Linked DNA regions of Drosophila melanogaster. The protein of the gene in region 2 interacts with the protein of the main gene of each other region in a pairwise test. Each region holds a gene or a part of one and is shown on either strand. Other genes may lie near its edges.

The links.
Region 1: the proteins of CG11248 (region 2) and PHDP interact in a two-hybrid assay, tested with the Drosophila melanogaster proteins (one large-scale study listed by BioGRID).

The regions. Positions count from the first base shown.
Region 1 is NT_033778.4:23,881,099-23,887,946, forward strand, and holds PHDP (putative homeodomain protein), read right to left. Parts: upstream 3,343-6,848; 5' UTR 3,215-3,342; coding exon 2,938-3,214; intron 2,843-2,937; coding exon 2,649-2,842; intron 2,381-2,648; coding exon 2,189-2,380; 3' UTR 2,038-2,188; downstream 1-2,037. Other genes in the region: CG4882 (uncharacterized protein), read right to left, coding at 1-489, 623-962, 1,017-1,219; CG5597 (uncharacterized protein), read left to right, coding at 5,980-6,028, 6,776-6,848.
Region 2 is NT_037436.4:21,676,172-21,684,813, reverse strand, and holds CG11248 (uncharacterized protein), read right to left. Parts: upstream 4,765-8,642; 5' UTR 4,662-4,764; exon of another isoform or gene 4,582-4,661; intron 4,515-4,581; 5' UTR 4,508-4,514; coding exon 2,381-4,507; intron 2,320-2,380; coding exon 2,191-2,319; intron 2,135-2,190; coding exon 1,898-2,134; 3' UTR 1,583-1,897; downstream 1-1,582. Other genes in the region: Sfp78E (seminal fluid protein 78E), read left to right, coding at 972-1,149, 1,212-1,486; Als2 (amyotrophic lateral sclerosis 2), read left to right, coding at 5,316-7,644, 7,764-8,382, 8,446-8,642.

The sequences.
Region 1 (6,848 bases), on a different chromosome or scaffold from region 2:
GGTGGCCTTACGCTCCTCCACGCTCTGCGAATCCAGTTGTCGCTGCACCGCTGCCTCAAACTTCTTGGCCCACTCCTGATACGACTCGCCGTAGTCGGCCAGCAGTTTGGGCTCAAACTTCTGCACATTGGCTTTGACGCTGTTCTCCAGTAGCGATTGAATGGCATTCGATTTGCTACTCTTCTCAACGGCTTCCTGCAGGGACTTCAGCAGCTCTTCGGATCCCTCCAGCTTGAGGCTTTCAACTATGCTCTGTGCGGCTAAAAGAGTCTCCTTGTGCAGGGCAGCTGAGTTCGAGGCCAGAAAGCTGGAGGCCTCGGGCACTTGTCCGGTTAGGACATAGCCAAGTAGGGCAACGTTCTGCTTCAGCTCTTTCAAGGACCCTTCGCCGGAGCCCAATCGAACCATGGCGCGACCCAGTTTCTTCTCTTCGGTATTTTCGCTGGCGTCGTCGGGGTAATTGCGAATGAACTTCACGCGAACTTTTTCCTAGCAAATTCAGGTATGATTAGTAAACTTGGTAAAATGCCAAAATGAACAAAATCTTAAATAGCTATTTATGAGTGAATAAAGTTTCCAGCCGCTTAGCTGATAATTCAGCCACTATCGAAAATCATCTTACCACTTCAACATTTTTGGCAGGAGGTTGAACTTGAGAGGACTCGAAGGGCTTGAACTCCTTGGCGAAGGACCAGAAGGACTGTAGGGCCAGGGACTCCAGCAACTCGTTGTTGCATAAGTTTCTGTCCACGAGAATAGTGGCCAGCTGGGCAGATTCCACCGCGTGGCCATTGTGCAGCAGGAAGTCCAACAGGAAGCAGCCAGAGAACTGGTCCACAAAGAGCCCGTACTGGATGGGATTACGGAGCACCGATATCGTCTCCTGCGGATTGGTGGAGTCCAGCAATTGCTTGACCAAGACACTGGGAATCAGCGGCACCAAACTGGCCTCCTTCTGTTTCCTGCAAGAGTTATCTTATGAGTAGGGACACTACTTCCAATATGGCCGCACCCACCTGAGCTTGAGCAGCCGGTCCACCAGGTCCATGGGACGGTTATCCGGATTGACGAACACATCCAAATCCACACTCGTTACGGCATGACTGCTGCCTGCGGCGAATTTAGCCGGTCCCTCGTGCGCCACCTTGTTGAATTCCGCCGAGAAGTAGGACACCAGTCTCCTGGGTGGCAGTGCGCAGGAAATCCTCGATCGCAGCATTGTCAATTGTCTTTTTTAATTCATAAAGTGTTATAACCAGCCGATTAACAAATAACATGCAGCTGGCCAAAAGAGCAACAAAATCCCTAGCGCGTTCGCCAGTTAATACCGCAGATAGCGGTATTTTCGTATTCGAAAGCATTGAGGGTATTTCGACTTATAATATGTTGCTTTTTCCGGGAACGATGGAATTGAAAATGTCCTTGGAATATTTGAATAAAATAATTAATTTGAATTCTTTTATTCTAAATGAAAAAACACATAAAATAATCAAATCAAATTGCAACAAAACTATTTAAAAAACGGAAGAGTACGTTTTATATATAGTTAAAAGGCTAAATGATATTTGTATATTTATGTATATATTTAATATCTGTATATACGTTTCACTAATGAAGTGTAGAAAAATGTAAAATGAACAACGATTTCACAGTTTATTAAAATCATTCGAGGGTGTTGAAAGGCGGGCACTACTTATAAATTGCAATATTAAGTTATACATCTGGGCACATATGATTTCAATAAACTGCAATTCAATCTTGATCTTGTTAATTAGATCTGAAAGGTATTCACCGCCAATCCCTGCGGTGGGCACTCCACAACAATTGCTATATTGAGCGCACCGAATCGCCACCATCAACTGATTACACGCCCTAATGCCGATCCAATCCACTTTTTCCACCCGATAATGGGATGACAATTTACCCCTGAAGGGCGTGAGGTTTGGTACTTGTAGATGGTGACCCTTCAACCCCCATTCAAGTCCTTGTTTTTCTTCCCACAGGCTTAGCCGGCTGAGCCCTCAAAAGGGTGCTAAGCCAGTTGTCCCGGATGATATGAAAACAAGCAAAGTGTTACACAGATCTTATTTATTTAACGCAATTCGCTCCAAATAGTCAGTAAAAATAATATCAAAATAACTGCATTCATCAAAATGTATACTAATATTTACATAGATATTAGTGGATTCTATATTTGATCGTATAAGCATTTCATTTGACGGCCATGGCCATTCTGGGGTCCCTTGAGAGATGGGCCCAGGTATTTCGATCCTGCTACAGGATTCTTCCGGCCATCCAATTTGCTCGACTTGTCCTTCATTATGTAAATGGCATGCCTCTCCTGCTTGCGAAACTTGGCTCTTCTGTTCTGGAACCAGACCTAAAACACACAATGGTTTTTTTTTTTTTTAATTTCGATTACTAAGTCGTTTTGTATCCTTCAACAGGATATGACTAAATTCGTTTCGATTGTAAGCTGGCTTCGAGAAACCTATAATATTTGAACCTATCAACAGCAGATCGAGTTCTTTTCAATAGTTATATTATATTATGTAAGTATTATTTGTTATATGTTAATTATTGAAATATGTGTATCCTAAACTACCCACTCACTTAACCAGCAATTCAATCTCATTAGTTTTCCTCACCTGAACTCGAGCTTCCGTCAAGTGCAGCTTGGATGCGATCTCTTCCCTGGTGTAGATATCTGGGTAGTGGGTTTCCAGGAAGATCTTCTCCAGCTCGTTCAGCTGGTTGGACGTGAAAGTGGTGCGAATGCGCCTCTGTTTTGATTTGTCGGTCAGGCTCAAGCCGTCGTCTCCATAGGACTTCAAATGGAAGTCTATGGCGAGGTGAGAGTTGGTTCAAGATTACAATCCATAATCGATCCATCCAGGTGCACTGGCTGCAGGTGGAACTGATGGCCACTGTACTTACCCGTGTTGTAGGAGCCAATGTTATGGGTGGCCGGGTAAAACTCGGAGACAGTGGTGATTTTGGAGAACAATAAGCTCGACTCCTGGTTGAGGGAACCCCGGATTGCGGACTCGTTGGCGCAGAGCTTGTAACTGGAGTCAATCATGAGGTTGTAGTGATTTATGTGATTGGCCACGGAGAGTCCTCCTCCATTGGCGCCGCTGTTGTAGAACTCCGAGTTCGCGGTGTACAAACAATCCTTGTCGAAGTTCGCCTTGTTGAGCAGTGAAAATTCCATCGCATCTGCAGGTAAATTCACACACGGCACTCGATTGAAATTTTACAGCCCGCTAATGAGTCATTCGGCCATAAAACACATAGTTATAGTAGCTCCGCGGCCGCACACACTTTTAACTGCCCTTGAATAAATAAGCTTCGATTACGATTGTATCAACTACAGGACATCCACGTTGGACGAACAAGGATGCTGCACTTGTCTCGGGAGAGCGGGACGGAAAATTTCATTCGTTTCCGCGTTTGGAGGCGGTCCTAACGAGCTCCACTCGACATAGGGGTGGAAATCTGACTTTCCGGCGCGTGTCGTGCACTGCGCGAAAATTCACCGCATTTCCCCAATTGACTTGTCACAGCATGTCTAAAGAATTGGTTTTGGTTTTAATTTCATTGATTGCATCGCTGTCTGTTGGCTCTGATCTAATCTTCACTCAGAAATCTTCTTTTCAATGAATATTTCTTCAAAATCTGAATATTTTCCAAGCTCCATCTTTAAGCGAACTTTTCTTTGAGTGCACCAATTTTCACAGGCCTCAAAAAGCAACACTCAGAAGATTAAATTGGCTTATCGGGCAACCATGACGCTGGGATGTCCTGTCTGAGCGATTAAAGGAAATGCTTCTCTGGGATAATATAAAAAGTAAGAAAAATGAAAATCCTCTTTACGTTGCAATAACTCTTAAGGAACAGCCAAAGTAACATAAATTATAAAATATATTTAAACTTCATATATGAAATGGAAAGGGTATCGGACAGTCCGTCATCACGAGTACAGCACTTCGCCAACTTGATAAAACAAATGGTGTTGTACCGCACACAATGGATAAGAGACACCTTACTATCTTTTCTTGTTTATAACATTGGGCTGATTGAAACATTGTTTAAAGTCACTGGCAGGATACAACCCCTGTTTTCGGAAACAATTATTTGCTCTGCGGATTATTTCGATTAGTTAATTCCTGCTAATCAGAGTCCTGCCTAATTTTTATTTACTCTGCGCTGAAGTCCTTTTTTTTTTGGACACCCTAATGCTGGATTGCTAATAGGATAGGCTGGTTGTTCCATGTGCTGAAGCCATTTAGTTAAATTTTCAAAGAAAAACAGTTCCAAATTCAATGTATCTATCTTCGGAAACAATTTCATTGGGATCAGTTTAGTCAAACATACGAGGTAAAAGTTTAGAATGTGCCTCTTTTTCCAGTTGAAAAATGGTCTTAGTTGCCTTTGTGGATTTTACACATTTGCATGGTAGAGTGAGCCTTTTCTTTTCTTAATCAACGAATTGGAACGACTAAGTCTCTAGGAAAACAAAGCCACCTAATAGATGCACATCATGCTCAAACTAACACTCGTGCAAAAAGAAACTCTACTTTGTAGTAATCATTACTTAAATCGCAAGTCTATGTAAATCGGAGAATTGTTATGGCAATCATAATAATACAACATTACGACATTCCGAAAGTTTTGGAATAAGTTACTGTGTTACATTTTAGGTTAAAATATATCCAATATATGTGTAAAATTATAACCTTTCCAATTGTAATTGTATCAAACGCAAAGATATGAACTCATTTTACATTTAATAAATAGTATAGTAACCAGATGTTGGAGGTGATCGACCTGAACGAAACCCACCTGCATTGTTTGCTTAACCCGATCTCAAACCCACCCCGAAAATCCTGTAAAAACAGCAACATATTATTTAGTTATAGAGCATCTAAATGGGAAGCTAGTTTAAGTAGGTTTCAACCTAGTTGTGGGTGCAAATGAGCCTGGAACTACATGCATCGAACAAGTATCAGGTTCTATTGAGTCATTCTGAAAACAACTAACGTTAGTTTGGAAAACATAAAGTAAAGAAAAAGGGTTTATCATGCATAGGTGTGTGTTGCACTTACACACTAACTTGGTATAGTGAAGGCTTTTTCTTTTGCTAATCACCGAGTTGGAACGACTAACTAAGTCTTTACAAAAACTCAAGCATATGGATATACTTAAACCTATGAGTAACTGAACGGCTAATACCCTAAGATTTATTCAATTGTAAACAAATTCGAGAAATTCGACTTAAAAATGCCTTCTATCGGAATTTCAACAGAATTACAGGAATGTTAATGATCCCTATTGCCATGGAGACAGCATATTATTAACGCCAATCGTTACAACAGCCCTTAACTTCGGTCGAGAAGAAGAAAAGGTCCTTAAGGACTACGCTCGACACCCCCTGTCCTTTAACGGTCTTGCATGTTACCCTCGACTATCCCTAGTTGTAGGAGTGCGCCTCAGCTGGGCGGCCAACTGGTTTTCAAATAGTCAACGGCAGCTAGGAGCAGCGGAGAGTATCGAAGCGGAAAGGTTGTGTCCAACCCCCACACATGCAGGGCGACTTGGTTGGTGGTGGTGCCTGGCCAGCTGCGGAGCGATCTCCCCACATGTCCATGCAAAGATCGTGCTTGTGCTCCGAGAGTCGCGCACAAGTCAAGTGGCACGGGCTATGCGAGGAGGAGGAGGGTTAGGGTAGGAGGATCGTGTGCCGGAGAGGAAGTGCCGGCATTATCTCGGCTAAATTCGAATTCGTTTGGTTACGCTGCGTGGTCTTGGCCAAGAGCTCTCGTTCCTCATTTCTCGGTTTTCAGTTTTCGGTTCTCTGGCGGCCAAGAGCATTTAGTTGCCTTAGTTGTACCATGCCGAGCGGACCGCTGAGTTAGGATCGGTTGAGAAGTCTGGCATACGAGTGGAAGTGGAAGTGTAGATAGGATAGTGACCGTTATGGATACCCTGCTGATCGCCATTCTGGCCATCGGACTGCTCCACAGAGGTACAGCCAGATCCTGTGGCGATCCAGCCAGCAACCGATATGGGAAACGCGATTTTTAAATTAAGAAATGAAATCATTCGGAAGGCGCATATAAACGAATTTCGAATGCGCAAACCTTGAGAAAAATAATGACAAATCGGATATCTATAAATACGAACGTATATCCACATTCGGTTCTGAGTTAACATGTGCTAAAACGGAATATAAACAATATATAAACAATATATAAACAATATGTGCAGATTCGATTATCCTTTAATTTGTGGATTTGAACGGGCTGAAGGATTTTACGTGCAATTATTCGTGTTCGAAACTATATGTTTTTCAATGTGGAAAAAGCGCCAGTGGTTTTGAAGTCGGAGCAATAGATGCTAAGTGGAAAGCAAAAGATTCCAGCGAAAGGAACCTAATAAAATTGAACAGAGTTTTCAGAATTTTGGCACACATGATGACAAACTGCCGAATGAAAAATGTTCAATTTTCTAGCTTTTGTTTGTTATTAGTGTCTATTTTTAAAACGAAACAGGCATCCGCTCATCGCGTTTTCGCTTCTCGTAAATATACGCTTTCGCCAAATTATATAGATTTTTGTGTACAATGTGTTTTGGATTTGCCTGTGCTGCATATGTACATATATTCCAAATAATACCGCGCGTGTTCTGTAATTTCGAGACCTCGTCGTGCTAAAAGCTTTTCGTTTCGTTTCTGAATTCTGCGTTCTAATCAGTAATATTCGCTCTCCCCCAGATGCGCTATGCTATCCCACGAGGGATGAGTCCGAGGACAAGATTATAGTCCTTCAGAACGAGGAGATGGAGCC
Region 2 (8,642 bases):
AAGAAGGTATGGCCCCAAAGAGCATTGGAGCAAGGAGTCCGCAATAATACGACGCTGATCTATTATTCGCTAGATTGTAAAAATGTAAAAATCACGCTTTCGTGTTGTGTATAAATTGAATGCAATTTATAAATGTCCAGAACAGAATTAAATCCCCAGCCGTCGGCACAAGCCACGATCGGGTGATGGTGATTTTTCAAAATAAACAACCTTGAGCCCAAGGGCTCCGCAGCCATATACCTCCATAGCCCATGGCCCCGTGGCTCCATGGCCCCATAGCTCCAGAGATCCAGAGCCGAGAACAATTGCCAAGGCCCAGGGCAACAATAGACGGCAGCAGGCAGAGCCAAAAGGATCCGCCAGATCGGATCCCTGGGAGCCACAGATGAAAAATTGCGCCAATTGAATTTGACCAGCGATTGTTGTCGATTGCTCCTCATCGCGAGCTGGCAGCGGGAGGGGTGTCGAGGATCGGGAATCGGGCAGCCTGGCGTGGGGCCGTGGTAATCCACTGGGCGGTCGCTTAGTTTTCAACGCATTTATCAATACCCAAGTGGATCGCCCTCCTCGTGCGGGTCCCTCCGGATTCCTTTCCAGGCGTTGACAATGCCAAGGGTGTTGTCGGGTACCTACGCCTAATGCATTTCGAACGGAATGGAAAAGAATGCCACCGTCTCTGATTGGAGAATCAATTTGCCACAGCTTAAGTCACCCTGACGAAGACATGTTTCCGCTTCCAAGGCGACTTTCTAAGTGACTGATTGTGAATACAATACAGGAATAACAATTCCCAATGTAAGACGTCCGGAAACGTATATAAACTATAGTGTTATTAAATTCTGAACTCAGTTGCAGGGGTGTATCTTTGTTCTGTGGAACACACACATTACACATTAGGCTGATCCAATACATCAGCAGACTTGTTTGAATCAATCAGTCATAGAGGAAAACTGCATCAGCAAGGTTGAGCTATGAATATCTTTATCTCCTTAATATTGGTAGTGCTGGCCATTTTATCTTTTGCTGACCACACCGTGGTAAGGGTAAATCCGTATATGGAGTATTATGGATCGTACATTTATTTTAAGGCAGACGGAGATCGGCACCTAAATGAGGACTTAAATCGAGCGACGGTAAAGAAGACTAAGTGTATGGATTACATGGATACGAGTAGTATTGGAACATCTATGTTAATAATTATTTCCCCCCAGATGGTTGGCAATGTGCCGGGGTGACGTGCCCCATAAAGTTTACGGCATCTTGTAAGGTAACAAAGGTCCTAAAGCCCTCTGATCTACAGCACACTGAGCTCCTGATTTTGTGCATGGATAAAAACGATAAGCCTATGTGTGGGATAACACGAACTCGAAAAGGGGTAATACAGGAAGTTCTGGACGTGGATGAAAACGGAAATACGATATATGACAAAAAGGAAGTTATTTCGGAGAACGATGGTACTAAAATCCCTAGGTGCCCACGAAAGTAAATGATGTGCACTGATCGACTTCACACAAATATGTTTTATCTACACAAGGTTTTTAACTTTAAATGTTATGGACTATAAAAATAATTACACATTTTTGTGGCAACCAACAATGGTTTATATATCTTGTAGAAAAAATATTGGTATAGTTTGGCAATTAGTATGTATATAGAATTGGTGAAACTAACAGAATGCGTTACACATAAATAAAGATAACGAACACAAAAGACAACAAAATAAATATTTATATAAATTGAACTAAGTTGGATCTGATTGAAAATTAGGCCTATGAGACTAGGCACAAAAACTCAATTCACTAATTGCCCCTTTTAGGAAAACAAAATTTGAGACTAAACAAATAGGTACTAAATAGGAAATTTATAAGTATTTGACTGAAAACTAAATTATGCTCGTCTAAGAGTGCTCGGCCACCGCTCGAAGTTCATCCATGAGGGAGGGCATGGGCTCCACTCTCCTCCGTTCCCGACCAGCAATAATAATCCTGCTTAGCTCCTTCATATCAGACTGGCAGGCGGAAATACCCTCGCCTAATTGGCACAAATTCGGTTGGCATCGCTGACTCCGCTCAATCAGATCGAATATGAAGCTGTTGCGAGGGCGACATGTTTCATTGGCGGTTTGCTGAACGAGCTGTAAATCAATTAAGGAAATGTCAAGAGAAGCCAATCGGAGGGGAACATACTTACCTTCTTGTAGTCATCAATAAGATTAGCCACTTCATGGGCGGGTTCCTGGGGCGTGTTGCTAGCCGTCGATTTGCCCGAGTCCGAGGCCTCAAACCGCGCTCGCTCCATTACCAAAGTGTGCTCCAGACACTGTAAAAAGCAATTAATTGTGTTACAAAGAGTTACTTTAAGGGAGTAAGACATAACATACCTTAATTTTTGACAAAGCTTGCTGATGCCTTCCGCTGATCTCCGCCAGCTTCATTTTAAGCCCAGGAAGCTCTTCAGCCTTTCGATTGTTAACCCTCCCATTTCGCAGTTCCTTTCGAAGAATTTTGGCCAACTGAGGCCAGCTTTTTATATGTGGTAGCCTCCTTCCTGTTTCCATCTCAAGAACGTGACCAAGAGATCGCAAACACTCTACTGCTTTGCGTTCTTCTCGCGCAATTTCCTCCTTCTCATCTAGCAAAGACTTTACCTGGCCTTGCAGCCTTTGCATGTTAATCGACGCAGCGGAGTTTATCTTCAGATTCTCTTGGAATGTTTTCTTCAAAAGCTGTAACTCTAGTCGATTTTCCTCGTCCTGCGCTTGGCTCAATTTCTGGAGCTTTTGCAGTTCATCATTTTGTCCAGCGAACAATTCATTCAGGTGCTCCAATTCAACCGTCTTATGCTGTAGTTCTGATCGCATTTCCTGCTCCAAGCTTTGAGTAGCTTGCAGAGCATCTAACAGTTGTTGCCAGTCTGCTTCCATTTCGTTAGTGCTCTTGATTTTAGCTTCTTGCTGTTGAAGCAGTATTTGGAGCAGCGAAACTGTGTGCAATTTTTGGCTCCTGACATCCGCTAGTTGTTGTTCCAAAGTCTCAATGCGTTGAACTAAAATCGGATCTTCGAGGTCCGTTTGGGTCGCTTGGTTGTGTTTCAACTGCACTTGCCAGCCCTCTGTCTTTTTGATTTGGACATCGATACGGGACTCTGCTTCGGCCAACGCTTTTCTCAGCTCATCACACTGCGCTGCATAATCTTTGAGTTTCTCCATTAGCTCACTTTCCTTTAAGGAACCGTTTTGCTTCATTTTGGCAATCTCGATTTTCTCCAGTTCCAATTGCTGTTTAGTCTTTTGACACAAGGAGCACATTTCGGCATACTGTTTTTGAAGAATGTCCACCTTCTGCTGTAGATTTTTCAAGGTCTTTTGCGCCTCACCTAAATTTTCTTTTAAGCCTTCCTTATCTAGTTGTAACGAAGCCAAAGAAATTGTTAAATTTTCCACCTGCTCCAGTTTTAGAGCATTGCTTTGCCGAAGTTGAGTCTCCTCCAAAAGTTGTGCCTGCAATGCGAACTCCAGTTGCTCAAGCTGACGCTGCTGTTCCTCGCATTGCTCTTTCATGTGAGACATCAGCATCAGCTCGGCCTGAAGCTCGTTAAGAGAATTCTTAAGGCTGGCAATTTCACTCGTTTTTCTGTTGATCTCTTCGTGAAATTTCATGCTATAAGAGTGCATAATTTCCATGCTACTCTCCCGTTTCAGCTTTTGTTGGTAGTACTGTTTCAAATCCAGGAACTCCTGTTCCTTTAGCGCTAACAGATGCTCCTGCGTTTGCAGCGTCTCGTTAAGCTCAGCAATGACTTGGCGCAGCTGATCACGCTCCGCGGTGACACTGCGTAGGGTAGTGCTTCTTAGCTCTAGCTGGTGCTCCATTTGACTTTTAAGGTCAAGTAGTTGCTTGCATTTTCCAGTCACGTGCTTGCTCTCCAGCTCCATGCCGACAACAGTTTGCTGCAACTGCGAAAGTTTTTCATCGTGTTCCAGACTGATCCTCTGGATGTCGTCCAGAAGCATCTTCTTTTGCCTTCGGAGCACGTCGATCAACTGACGCTGATCCCGTAGGCGCGCCTCCTGCTGTTTGGCCTCAAAAGAGGAGTCGTGTGACTCCGAGTCTGCTTTAAACGGCGATGAGCCAGGGGAAAATGGTGAGCCCTGCTCCTGCTGCTTCTCCAGAGTGGCGCATTGTGTGTGCAGGCGGATCGATTCTTGCTGCAGCTTCTGGTTCTCCATCAAATACTTCCGTTCCTGTGCGTACAATCGTTCTAGCGTCTGTAGCCTGCTGTGCTTCTGGGACTTAAGCTCCTGCTTGTACCACTGCTCCGATTTTAAGAGCCTTTGCACCTCACTGCGCGTCCGAAGCAGCTCTTGCCGCACCAGAAAAATCGATTGGTCCGGTTCAGGCTGCGGCGCCGGTTTCTGAGCAGGATCTCCTACTCCATCATCGCTAGTGCAGCTAAAGTGCCCTGAGTCGTCAGCCAAAGCTGTAGCGCCCTCGCAGTCCAAATCCATAACCGAGCTGAAAAAATTTTATTTTAGGAGGGTGAGTTTGTGGCTTAAAACAACTTTTGTGGGCGTATGCAAACCAGCAGTACCACACGGAGGTGTCCACTGAGTCGTACTAGTTGATGTTTCTGAACAATTGTTGACGGTTGTTTTTTTTTACCGTGGGTAACTTTTCCTAATTAACGATAAAACTACATTTTAAGCGAAATAAACAAAACATGCAAAAACTTTTGAGTCGAACAGCTGATGGCAAAAACAATATGACCATATTAAAACAAATTGATGTATCGCAAAAAAATACCAAAATAACTTTTTTGTGTTGACTGGTTCCATGATTATGGCGAATGCAACTAAGGAGTTATTTAAATTTATATAAGAGTTCTAGCTAACTACAATATTGAGTTTACGTATAAGGTATTATGTGTGTTTTCAAAATTGGTTATAAAACAACAATTTGCATGGACCAAATAAATAGTGATAAGCCCAATTTTAGAACGTCACTTTTACCCGAACACCCTTACTTAATAAATTCTCATTGGGACTCGATAGCGCTGGTCACACTAATCCAAAAAACCATCACAAAAACATGAATTCTTATTAGCCAGTTAAGAACAAGTGAAAACAGAATTTATTTTATCGTGGCAGCTAGAGTTGCATTCCGAATCAAGTTATATGATGTTCGTTGGTGCCAGTAGTGCCTAGCGTGGACCGGAGCACGTGCACGATGTGAGAACGACCTGCAGACAAATCGAGCAATTGCGTCGTGTTACAAAGCTTTGGCCCTGTCCAAAACCCCAACAAAAATTTGCACATCATGGCCAGTGCAGCGGATGACTCGGCACTTGGGGGTCAGGAGGAGCGGGAGTCCTTCACCATCTATCATGAAGGCAGGGAGCTACAGCTTCACTGGCGCGGATTGCCGCCCCTGCAGCGGTTTCCCGCATCCCGGATTTGCAGCAATGCCGGCGGGGAACTGCTCCTTCTGACCACTGACCACGCCCTCTACTCCGCCAAGCTGCAGGCCAACCGCGAACACATGGATCTTCAACTCCTGCGTACCGATGTTGTGGATATGGACTTCTGCTCCGGCAGTCAGGAACTATTCGTAGTCCTCACCAATGGCTCTGTGCAGCGCCAAGCCACGGGATCTGGCCGGGATGTGGGTCATCCACATGCGTGGCAAACCCTCGGTTTCGACCCTCTCGAATTGCATGCTGAGGGCGTACGCATCCGACGGGTTTGCTGCTCCGCCCAGGGCGTTGTCTTCGTCGGCGCTAGTGGGGAGACCTATGTCATGGGCAGCTGCGGCGAAGTCTTCAAGGCAGAACAACAGCCTCGGCACATGCGCCTTTACGAAGAGGGCAAGGAACTGTTGGACTTAGCAGCCGGAAACGAGCACTTTGTGATGTTAGTAGCTCCCTACAACCTGGCCGACGATGCACTCCAGCTGTCGGTGGCCAGTGCGAAGGAAGAACCCGAGGATGAACGGGCCTCTGTAAAATCCATAAGCAGTGGCCACTCGGAGCGCAGCGTTGCGGCTAACACAAGGCACCTTCTTCACCAAGGATACGCTCTGCTCCACACCCAACTTTTCACATTCGGAGCCTCCAATAATGGTCTCCTGGGCAGTGGGGATCATATCCGGAGGGCCAATGTGATGCGCTTGCAGAAACTAGACAGCATGGGCGTGTGCAGCATTGCAGCTGGATTAGAGCACACGGTGGCCCGCACTCTGGACGGAAGGCTCTACCACTGGGGCCTGAACAACCACTCTCAGTTGGGTGAAGATGTCAGCTCGCCCATGGAGATCACAATTACGGAAAACACGGCAGCACTACCCATAGAACAAAACTCGGCGCTTGAGGCGACTTGCGGCGACTACCATACACTACTGCTCAATGCCTCGGGTCAAATACATTCCCTTCAACCTGCGCCTCCAATGCGACATCTGCAGCAGTCCAGCACATACGCGCAGACGCTTCTCCAGCTTCAGTTGGGAGCAGCGTGGCCCAGACAACTACGTTTGCTTATGTGTTCTGGCGGATACACACTTCAAAACCAAAGGCAGTTCCAGCGGCAGTATCACTACTATCTGAGTCATCTGCAGTCACAGTTACAACTGCTTCTCAAGCATCGACAGGCAGTCCAAACACTCGAAATCTGGCAAAGACAGTCGGCACTGGAGCCGCTCAGCGCCCTCGGTCCCTTGCTGATCAACTGGGAGAGAATACTGTGCCTGCTAGTGGCCACTTTGCATTCGCTAGAGGGATTCTACCGAGCGGACTTTGTGCAGCCTGCCGACCTGTTGTTTATCTGTCATTACAAAGAGTACATCGATCTGTTTGACGGCTACACAAAGGCCTATTGCGATGTGTTCTCGGTCAATGGATTTGGAGAGGCGGTGGTCGCCATTACTGGACTCAGCAGCCCGCTGGCCGAGCTCAACGAGGAGAGCTACGTCACTCGGTTGTTCCAGCAACCCTTCAGTATCTACCAGCTGTTTGTCCAGTTTATGGAGCTGCTGGTGAGGACGCAATCTGAGTACGGAGAGCATAGGGTGGCCTGGTCGGAGTTCGCGCGGCACAGCTGCATCAGCCAGGAGCTCGCCGTGAATACCAAGGATTTCTGGAGCAGCAACGATAGAAACCCGAGGATTGTGCAGTTCAGAGGACGTCACAGAAGGGTTATTTTGACGTCGGCTTTGGTTCCATTGAAACTAGTCACTTCTGGTATCAGCAGGTCAAGCAACAGTTTCATTCTCTTTTCGGACTTCCTCTGCCAGGTAAGCGGCAACTCGCTGTACTCGTATCCCTTAACTACCCTGTGGGTGTGGACCGAAGGCGACAGCCTGCGCTTGACCACGCCGGAAAAATCCTTTCTGGTAAGCACCCGTTCGCAGGAGATGCGCAAGGTGTGGCTGGACCAGTTGCAATCGAGCATTATAGCGTCCTTGGGCAAACCTCTCGGAAGTCCTGTGCCCAGCTATCGCTCCACGGGGTACGAGTTTAGTCGGGAACACCCAAAGTTCTCCAGGGTGAAAGCGTGCGGTACCTGGAGAAAGGGCGTTCTCCACGGAAATTGCTACCTTGAGTATCCAGACGGAAGTGTATACTGCGGAGAGCTGCAACACGGGATCATTGAAGGTGAGTTATAATTGACCTGGGTGTTATTTAGTTATATAGCTCCTATGTAAATTATCGATGATCATCCAAAACGATAGTTTAGAGATAGAAAAAAGCATTAAAAGAACGTTATTCCTAAGGTTTCGGCAAAATGGTGATTCCGACAACGGGGCTGTATGTAGGTAACTTTAAAGGTGGCCGGTTCCACGGCCACGGTGTTTACGAAATGCACTGTAAGGATTCCCCCGAGAGCGAAGTCTACGAAGGAAATTTTTGCGAGGGCCTGTTTCACGGCCATGGAGTGATGCGGAACAACCGATACATCTACGTGGGCGAGTACCAGGCCAATGCACGCAGTGGATACGGAGTGATAGAGGATCTGGTTAGCGGGGACAAGTACATGGGCATGTTTGCGGATAACAAGCGATCTGGAATCGGCAGCTGCATCACCAACCGCGGCGACTACTTCGAGGGCAGCTTCTCCGGAGACGATCTCACAGGCAGTGGGGTTGCTGTCTTCGAGAACGACTATTACTACGAGGGCGAACTCACGCTCCTCGGCCCAAACGGACGGGGGGAATACTACATGCCCAGTGGAGATGCCTGTGGAGGAAGCGGTGCCATGGGGACCGGGGAGTTCGACGACACTTGCGAGCTTATTGGGAACAAAATGTTTGGACAGCTTAGTGGTACTTGGGACACGGTGCGGATACAGGCCGGTGAACTGGTACTAAATCGGCGCTTTCCTAAGTACCCCAGGTGAGTCAATAAGAACCCACAAACGTACTTCAATGAAAAAATAATATAATGGCTTTACTGCAGCTCCCTTGGGCGCCAAGTGGTAGATCACAATCGCAAGTGGCGATCATTGTTTAACAACTTTGAATCGGACCTTGCCAATTGCACGGCAAGCACTAGCAGCTCTGGAGGCAATCAATCAGCTGGCACCCTCAGAAAATCCTCGAAACCCACTTTGAGCACGGCCCAAATCTGGAACTGCATAGCGGTGTACATGAGCA